Linked DNA regions of Caenorhabditis elegans. The protein of the gene in region 2 purifies or fractionates together with the protein of the main gene of each other region. This does not show direct contact. Each region holds a gene or a part of one and is shown on either strand. Other genes may lie near its edges.

Region 1 (5,370 bases), on a different chromosome or scaffold from region 2:
TTTCACATGCCTTCTTAAAGGGACACGGGTGTATTCAGCTGGGTCTCGGCGCGAAAAAAGTTAATGGTAGTCTATTTTTTCTCTTTGATTTGCCAAAATAAATGAAAAAAACTGCAAAAAAGATACGAGACACGCCGAGGATAAATCGGTGCGCCTTTAAGAAGGTATATATTTAAAATCCTTTAAAAAAAGTTTACGAACAATTTTTTCCAGGGCCTTCTTGCCGAAATGGTAGAAAATGGTCTCGACGCGATTCTCATCAAAGTGGCCGCCATTGGGCTCGGCGAGCAACATCTCGGAAAAACGTTGTCAGAAATGGCACCAATTATGAAAGTTCTTCAGGATAAATATGGAGTTCATCCGTGCGGTGAAGGTGGAGAATTCGAGTCATTTGTACGAGATTGCCCGCTTTTTAAAAAGCGAATTGTTATCGATGAAACGGAGGTAGATATTACACAATTCTGAGAATGCGTATGGTGCAACATATTTGGCGAGCACAATATCGTGTAGCGAAAACTACCGTAATTCTTCAAATGACTACTGTAGCGCTTGTGTCGATTTACGGGATTGATTTTCGAAAATAATTAAAATTCTTTATTTATCGAAAAAATATAGAAAATTATGTGAAGAAACCCTGTCACTATTCGAAAAGAAATTAATCTCAAAAAATCTAGCCCGTAAATCGACAACAGCGCTACAGTAGTCATTTAAAGAATTACTGTAGTTTTCGCTACGAGACAATCTGCGCGTCAAATATGTTGCGCAATACACATTCTCAGCTCCCGTAATACTTGAAATCCAACTTTCAACATTCTGTATTTTTCCAGACAGTAACCCACCAAGATGATCCCATTGCTCCTGTGTTCTACCTCCGACTGAAAAAGATGCACTTGGAGGACAAGTGAGATGGGAAAACATGTACTTTTGTTAATTTTAAATGTTATATTTACTTTTCTTGTTATGATGATTGTTTTCTAATAAAAAGTTCCGTTGAGTTACACAGAATCATATTTCATTAGGGACGTATTGAAAATGGAGCGTTTTTTAAAAAAGGAGATTATTATTGGCCATACAAAAACATTTAGTTAAAACTAATATTTAATTGAGAAGGGGGAAATAAATAGCATAATTTGTTGTGCATATATTTGAATTGGATTCAACGTAGGATGGAATTATGGAATATCATCTGGAGCATCCAAATCGCGATACGAGACTGGCTGACGACGTGGCGCATCCTCGAAGTAGCGTCCACCACCACCTCGTCCACCAAGTGAATGTCGAGGAGGGAATTGGGGACGACGATCATATCCTCCACCGCCAAAAGAGTTTCCTGAAAATTAATCATATTTATGAAATTTCAAGAGTTGAACAACTCACTTCCTCCACCACCAGGTCCTCGATCATCGTCTCGTTCTCTTCCATATCCACCTCGCTCACCACCACCACCTCCACGATGATCATCTCTTGGAGCTTGTTTGGGCTCACAGTCGACTGGTCTTTGGGCGTCGGCAAGATAATTGTTGAAAAAGTCAGCTTCTGCTCTCGCTTCCTCCAGCTTGTCTTCATGTTTAGACTGCAAGTGCTTTCGGATGAATTCAGGTCCCTTGAATTTCTTTCCAGAAAGCGGACAGAGCCATTTATCCTTTGCCAACTCGACAGTATTCTTTTGAATAAAAGCTTCAACTTCCCTGAAAATTTGGGTTTGTTAAAAATTATTTTTAAAAAAGCAAATTTTTTCACTTACTTTTCTCCATCCTTCTTGCCCATTTTCTCCAATTCTTCCTCGCTTACATACTGCTTTTCAATCAACCCTTTCTCAATGCGGCTATTGAATCCCGAAATAAAATCGTTCACAAATTTCTGTGGAACGACGAGAGCTCCATCCTCGTCAGTAGTGATTGATACTCCAGAAGGCGGCTGCCCACGAACGTGAATCAAGCCACATCGATTCGGCATCGAATCTTCCTGCGCATAATGTCCGTGATTATAAAAATCGATGGAATGAACAATGCGAAGGTAAACGATGAGAAGATCGAGAGCCTTCAGGATATTATCATCGCGCTCAAACCGAATCTTTTCAGCTGGTGCTTCACCTCCATTCGAGACTCCCAATAATTCAGCTTCCTCTTCACTAATATCATTGAGAACATCATGTGGAACAAGTGATTTAACTTCTTTAATCAACGGATTCGTTGAAGCAGCGACTAAATCAACGCCCATACGAATATCCATCTCACGATCAGCATCAGCTTCATCAGCAGCGTTGAACAAACCAATCTTCTTGTCATAAAGAACAGTGAGCTTGACAGCAAGCTTCAGATCGTTAATCGCAACTTGCTTATGAGATGCAATCCCATTATTGGTACGAACACGACGAGTAATGTCACGGTTGATGATTGCATTCAGATCAGTTTCTCGCAGACGATGTGCGTTGAGTGCCCAGCAGATTTCTTTGATATTGATATCTCGCTTGAATGTAGCCCATCCTCTTCTGTAGAACTTTCTTTCGGCAATTCCATCGGTCAGAGCAAGACGTAAAAATCCTGGGCTCTTTTTACAGAGACCCTCTAGTTCCTCATATGTGAGACCTGGTGGGATATTTCTCAAGAAAACCGAGCAGGTTCTGTGGATGTTGACCTTGTTCGATGACTTTTCGGTTCCATCTTCAATGGCTCCCTCTTCCAACTCTTCCGTTGCTCCGGATTCTTGTTTTACTTCTGGCTCTTCTTTCGGCTGTTCGGTTCCATTCCCATTCTCGTCTTTTTTAATGTCAGCGAGTGACTCGTCTTCTAGTTTTTGAGCCAGAACAGCTTTCAACTCGTCTTCAGTTCCATTTTCCAGCTTGACAACAACTGAAAATACAACAAAATTAAACATATATTCGAAACCTTTAAAAACAAAATCTACCTGAATCTAGCATTCTAATGATTGCCTCCGCATCTCCGAAATCCAGAGAGAATTTATTGAATTGTCCCTGCTCCTTCAACTCATTGAAAACCTGCAAGCGCTTCTGCACATTTTCCAAATGCGCCTCTCGCAACTTCTTCGCATCATCCGGTTTGTATTTAAGACGGAACCTGAAATAGATGTTGAAAAATTAGAACTCAAGATATTAAAAGACAACGGGTATTGGAACAAAATGTGAATGGCATCCGTGCCGAGTGAAAAATTCAAAGATATAACCAATCCGTTGACCGCGGCATAATGCGCCTCTGGTCTTGAAAATCGAAGCTGAAATTTACCATTCTTCGTCTTTATGGGCACGGAAGAACCGTTCAAGTTGATGTTTTCTATGTTCTGTCTTGTACTCATTATATTTTTTGATAGCATCTTCTTCCGAGATATCATCTTCCTGGCTAGTGAGGAACTTTTTGAATGTTTGAAGTGGTCCCGAATATATGGAATCCGATTCAGTGGGTAAATCCGAACCATTACCAGAACGACTTACGGGATCGAAACTGTCATCTGCGTCGCTGAAAAAACATAGATTTTCAACGTAAACAAAAAACGATACTAACTCTCCACGACTCCGCTTTACTTGGTAATCATCTCTTCGTCCTCCAGGACGCTTGTTGTCATAGCGATTGAATCCGCCTCCACCACGGCGATAACTGAAACAGAATGAGTGATTTTTTAGTATTTGAAATATAATAGAAAGAAACTTACTCCTCATCACGACGTTCACGGGCGAATTTGTCACGGCGGCGATCGCCATCATCATCAGAGTCCACCATTCTGTAAATAAGAATTTATTTGATAAATTGAAGTGATTCAGAAGAAATCAAATTTATTTGGATCAAAATAAACACATTTTGCGAGCAGAAAATGCAGAAAATCACTGAAAAATATGCTAAAGAACGCGCAATGTTTTTTTCCAATTTGAACGCTGCACGCCGCACGGTTAAAGTGGGCGGAGACTTGCTCGGCAACACCGCCGCGCAGAAATTCTGTTCTTTTTTATCTCCAGTCATTTTCGAAATCATTTTTTTATTGAATTCCGGAATTTTTTGATTGCGCGCCGATTTCTACTTCAATTCACAAGATGAGTGATATTTCTTTGGATTATGAAGGCAGTTCAGATGATTCACGAAGTTCAAGATCATCGTCGAGAGAGGTACTTTGCCGTTTTGCACGTTCAAAAAATGTTATTTTCATTTAAAATTACTTTTAGAACAGAAGAAGAACGAATAGTGGCAGCGGGGACAAAGACAAACCAATGTGGAAGTCAAAAAGGTGAGTTTTCAATCAATTTTTGCTTAAAAAATACAACATTTTCTCAAACCAGAATAGGAAAATCGCGCTTTTTAAACTTGGATTTTTTCGATTTTCTTTTGTAATATTTCTAAATTTGAGACTACTTTGGATTTTCTGAAGCGAAATTTACGTTTTTTTAAAATAAAAATAATTATAATTTATAATTTCAGAGATTCCTCCAGAAGTAGTCGAAGTAGAAGCCGTTCAAGTTCCGAATCAGACTCCCGTTCTCGATCTTCAAGCCCAGTTGTAAAAAATTCGCCTCCAAAACGAAAACGAGAGCCAATTCGTGCTCCGAGTGCCTCACCGCCACGAAGACGTCGTGATGATTCTCCAAGAAAACGAAGCCGATCTCCACCACGTCGTACTCGTCGTAGTCCTTCTCCACCAAGACGTCGTCGAATTTCAAGGAGCCCAGTCAGAAGAAGCCGATCTCCACCACGACGTCAAGTTTCCAGGAGTCGATCTCCTCCTCCGAGAAGACAACAACGCTCAAGAAGTCCACCACCAGCAAAACGTAGACGAGATCAGAGCCGTTCAAAGTCTCCACCAAGAAGAAATTATAGACAACGACAACGAAGCGGCTCGCCGCCTGTTAGAAATTGGAGGGATGAAGAAGAAAATCGTAGAGCTGAAATGTGGTCAAAAAGACGTTTCCAGCGAGTTAATATCCAAGCCGATGGCCTGAATAACATCTGGGGACATTCGCCAACTCATGAGGAGATACATGACACTTATAAATTGAGAGTTGCGGCTGAAGAGATTCAAGCAGAAAATGAAAAGAAACGAGAAGAACTGAAAGAAGATAGAAGGAAGGAGAAGAAAAGAGAAATGAGAGCAGTTAGAAATGTTTCTGAAGACGATTCTTCGACATCTTCTGAATCGGAGGAAAGTGATTTTGAACAGAAGAAGAAGAAGAAGGTGAAGAAATCAAAGAAAAGTAAAAAGGATAAAAAGAAGGAAAAGAAAGAGAAGAAAAAGAGCAAAAAGGCAAATAAGGAGAAAGAAGAGAGAAGAGCTCGTCGTGAGCAACGAAAGAAAGAACGTGCTGAGCTGAAGAGAAAGATTAATAATCGTTCTGATACTGAAGAAGAATGGGAAGAAAAGCAGTCTGAA
Region 2 (4,053 bases):
CTAGTAATGCGAAAAAAAATTTCTGGAAAGTTTTGAATAAATTTTAGTTTTTAATAAAATCTGAACAGTTTTCAAGTCAAATTCAATAGCCCAGTATTGTCAGATTTGTCGGAAAAATTTTTTAAACATTTTTTAGTTGTTATTTTTTGAAAATTATAGGTGTTTAAGCTTACAGCAACGCTCGAAATCTCAGTGTTCTCATTTTTTGCCTTTTGAGAAAATTCACGTAACTTTATCTGGAGTGTGTCAGAAAAATCGAAAGGAGCAAAGGAAAAGAGCAACTTCAGCGATGGCAGGTGACGTCATATCATCCACGAAATTTGACTTTCCTTAAACCCATTTTCTGATAGTTTTAGAAAAAACTCGCAGGATCGTGAATATGCTTGTTTTAATATAATTATGTTTAAGTAATTTGAACCATTATTATCAGATTTTTGAGTTATTCTTTGTTGGTTCAATCTGAATCATTTGCAATTTTGTCAAAAGAAAAATTTAAATGGCTGAATAATTTTTGATTTCTTTCGCAGAAACGTTTCATGGTTTGTTTCAATTTTTTTTGTTTTCCTGAATCTGAATCTCTCGGTCATTTTTTGAATTAATTCTCTGATGTAAAATTTCCAGACATTTTTCCTCTGAAAACTTCTGTAGATTAATTCTAGAGTTTGACCAAATTTCTTATGTTTTCTATGCAAAATTAGTGACAAAAATGTTTTCAATCATATAATTCAACGAATTCTACCAAAACCGCAAAAATATCAAAACTAGGTCATTCATTTGCGCGGGAATTCGAGAAATCATTTCTAAGCACCGAAACAAAAGCGGCGTGTTTCATTCGCCGACGACCTCAATTTTACGTCGCCCAAAAAAATTCCGGTCGATTTCGAAGATCGATAGACTGAAGAGTGCACGTACACCCAAAATATTATGTCGTCATTGCGACTAGATCCAACGACAGACTCTAGTAATGCGGAAAAATTCTGAAATTTGTTTGAAATCTGAAAATAAAACGAGAATGTTCTGGTATTTATTATATTTAACACAAACATAAAACTATTTGCAATAACCGCATGTCTTGGGGCACTGGTCTTTCATCACATCGTGGTAGATTCCATTATTGCACAAATTTCGTCTAGCCGGGCAGTCACTGACTCCAGTGGTCGGATTCAACTTGTCTCTGCAGATTCCTGGAGTTGTCGCCGAGCCGGAGCCACCTGAACCTTTGCTGGTGACTACTTTGTGTCTTAAAAAGCTAACTTACAGTATCCGCAGGTCTTTGGACACTGATCCTTCATAATATCAATATATGGACCATAGTTACAGTAGTTCTTCATTCCTGGGCAGTCACTGACACCAGTTTTTGGGTTGATCTTATCACAACATGATCCGGGTGATGGAGTGGTTGGTGCCATTGTCGTAGTTGTGTCAGAGATGACTGAAAGTTTCAATTGGTACATATGTAATCAGTGTTTTGGAAGTAAACTACGAAACTCGAGAAATAGGTTGCAGCGGACAAATTGCGGGTTTTTAAAAATCGTTCTCTATCATCAGGAGTGTATGAGACCCGTTAGATGTCCGCCGCAAATAAAGTGTAAAACATCGTAAAAACTTACTGTAAACATCATTGTCTGGGCAGCATCCTCCAGCAGTAATCATAGTAGTGCCAGGTGGGCATTTGCCGTTAGCATCTGGCATAGGATCTGACTTACATCCGAGCTTAATTTCAGCACTTGCCTGGCTAACTAGAACCAGAAGAAAGGCAGCAATACCATGTGAATACATTTTGAGTCTGAATGAGCATTTAGGAAGTTTGTGTGCAGCTTTTAAGCGTCTCCTTTTTTTGGGCGTGATGATTTTTTAAAAAATAATCTCCAAAAACCCATACGTTTTACATATCTTATCGTAATTTTCATTGCAAAAATCGGAAATGATTTGTTTGCAGATTACATCAACGTGCTGAACTAAGTTTTTATCATTGATTCTTCGATTTTCAGTCGACAAAGTGAAGGTGAATTAAAGGGTCTGTCCATTGGGGAAATTTTTTTCAAAACACGCCTATGAGGTCACATTGAACGAATGATAACATTTTTTTTGAAAATCACTGTGATCACATATTCGTGTTTTAAGCAATTTTTTTACTAGCCGCACTAAAATCACAATCATATTGGTTTCAGTCTTCAAATTTTCAGCCAATATCTGAACTTTATTAACAACACATTTTTCTGGATAAATACATGCGTCAACAATAAAAAAAAACCAAATTAAAATCCAGTGTCATAAAACATTTCCGGATGGGAAGTCTCTATGGAGAGCATGTCAAAAGTCTTGGAAATTTTGATTTTTGATCGATTTTCCCAAATGTTTTTCTGTAAGTTTTATTTTATTGGAATAAATTTTCTTGTTAAAATCAGTACCTGAACTGCTCCATTAATCTTTATTAGCTTCGCCAGTCTTCCCGAGTATCGATCAATTTTCTTCTCATTTTGGTAATATTCATGTAGGTTTTGAGCAAGAACGTCTTGAAGGTGATCACAAATTTCTTGGATTTCACCAGCAAATCGTTTTCCTGCGTAGTGGAAGCAGAGTTGGGCAAGCATGTAGGCGGATTCAATGTCAGATGGCTCAAGCTCTACTAAAGGGTCGATTTCTTTGGTGAGCTCTCGGGCGCGCACTCCGTCTATGAAGCTGAAAGTTTTGGAATTACGCTGGAATTGTAGCCAGTTGTTTGACTAACCAATGGGGGTTTTCTTGTAAACTTTCGCGTTTTTTCTCAGAAACTGTGTTTGTCAAAAATGTACAATACTTTATGACAATTGTAGGTAGAAAAATTGAAAAATTCCGCGTTTTACGCTAAGCTGAACAGGCTTAACAGGAAAGGAGGAAACTTCTCAAAAAAAATGTGTAAAACATGTTTTATGGCGGTTCAATTTTTTTTCCAAAATAACTTACGTCAAAACTTGCTCCGGCTCGTAATTGGTCATCCAATCTACATCAACTTCTTGATGCTCCATATCGATGAAAACCCCATTGCTCAGAGTCAACAGGTTTTTTGTAGGACACAAGCCGCGTCTCCGATTTATTGCAGTTGCCAGAAGCTTGTCAAGTCGTCCCCAAACGTGCCAGATTGCGAGGAGAAGGGTCATCTGAATTTATTCAATTTTTCTAGCTCAATTTTTTTAGTATACCTGAATTTTGTGGTCCAACTTCTGAAACTCGTCGAAATACGTCAGCCACCGTGCCACTGTGAGAAAATAAAATTCCCATATTTTGAGCACATCTTCTTTTGAGGAATGCGGGAAATCTTTCATATTTGTAGAAGTATTCTCTAGGAAACTGAATCCAATTGCTAGCTTATGAAGTTGGTCTCGAGCAATTATAGGTATTTCTGGACCAGTTAGCAAAACGTTAGAAGCCTTGTTAACGAGACCACTGACGTCGATAAGAGTTTTTGGGTTAGAAATCTGAGCTGATGTGCCAGGAGTGCAGAAGAGCACATATTCAGGCCGTCCCACAAACATTTCGAACGATTTTGGGAGCTTGGGCTTTTTGAGTTTTGCAACTAGGCCATCTCGGTCAAATTGGAAATCTGAAAATTTTTAACATTTCTGGTAGCGATTAAGGAAGAAAAAAAACTAACTTTCAGTGTTCATTCCAACGGCAATGCATCTTTTGAGCCTACACGGCTTGCAGTGATATTGACCCTCTCCATTTTTACATTTACTTGGTTTTTGGCAATTTTTCTGATGCCATTTTGGGACAGTAGCTGTCCGTCTGCAAATTACTATTATTTTTCAAAAAAATTAACAAAAATTACCTGAAAAATGCCGAACAGGCTCTACACGAAAGCACTCCAAAGTGAAAGCCCTGGCTCTCAAGTCCGCAAACCTCGCATTCTGGTCCGTTTTGATCCATTTTTCAAAAAAATTTAAAATATCAAATAGCTGGGAGGTTATTCAAAAACTTACAGTTTATCGGAACAATGTGTGACTTTATGAGAGATAAGATACGGAGAAGAAACGCAGATGGTGAAAGATAGGAATCAATCGGAGAAAGGAA

What was found.
Region 1: the proteins of C14C6.5 (region 2) and srrt-1 fractionate together in Caenorhabditis elegans (co-fractionation; one large-scale study listed by BioGRID). This does not show direct contact.

Annotation. Positions count from the first base shown.
Region 1 is NC_003279.8:4,130,865-4,136,234, reverse strand, and holds srrt-1 (Serrate RNA effector molecule homolog), read right to left. Parts: upstream 3,736-5,370; 5' UTR 3,735-3,735; coding exon 3,667-3,734; intron 3,612-3,666; coding exon 3,519-3,611; intron 3,474-3,518; coding exon 3,243-3,473; intron 3,078-3,242; coding exon 2,908-3,077; intron 2,853-2,907; coding exon 1,745-2,852; intron 1,689-1,744; coding exon 1,378-1,688; intron 1,331-1,377; coding exon 1,173-1,330; 3' UTR 998-1,172; downstream 1-997. Other genes in the region: dph-6 (Diphthine--ammonia ligase), read left to right, coding at 214-444, 828-905; let-504 (NF-kappa-B-activating protein C-terminal domain-containing protein), read left to right, coding at 4,043-4,114, 4,172-4,233, 4,425-5,370. UniProt on the Caenorhabditis elegans protein: Acts as a mediator between the cap-binding complex (CBC) and the primary microRNAs (miRNAs) processing machinery.
Region 2 is NC_003283.11:534,373-538,425, reverse strand, and holds C14C6.5 (ShKT domain-containing protein), read right to left. Parts: upstream 1,799-4,053; 5' UTR 1,780-1,798; coding exon 1,611-1,779; intron 1,433-1,610; coding exon 1,259-1,432; intron 1,212-1,258; coding exon 1,051-1,211; 3' UTR 1,008-1,050; downstream 1-1,007. Other genes in the region: nhr-132 (NR LBD domain-containing protein), read right to left, coding at 2,259-2,363, 2,412-2,682, 2,947-3,140, 3,183-3,583, 3,635-3,768, 3,812-3,909.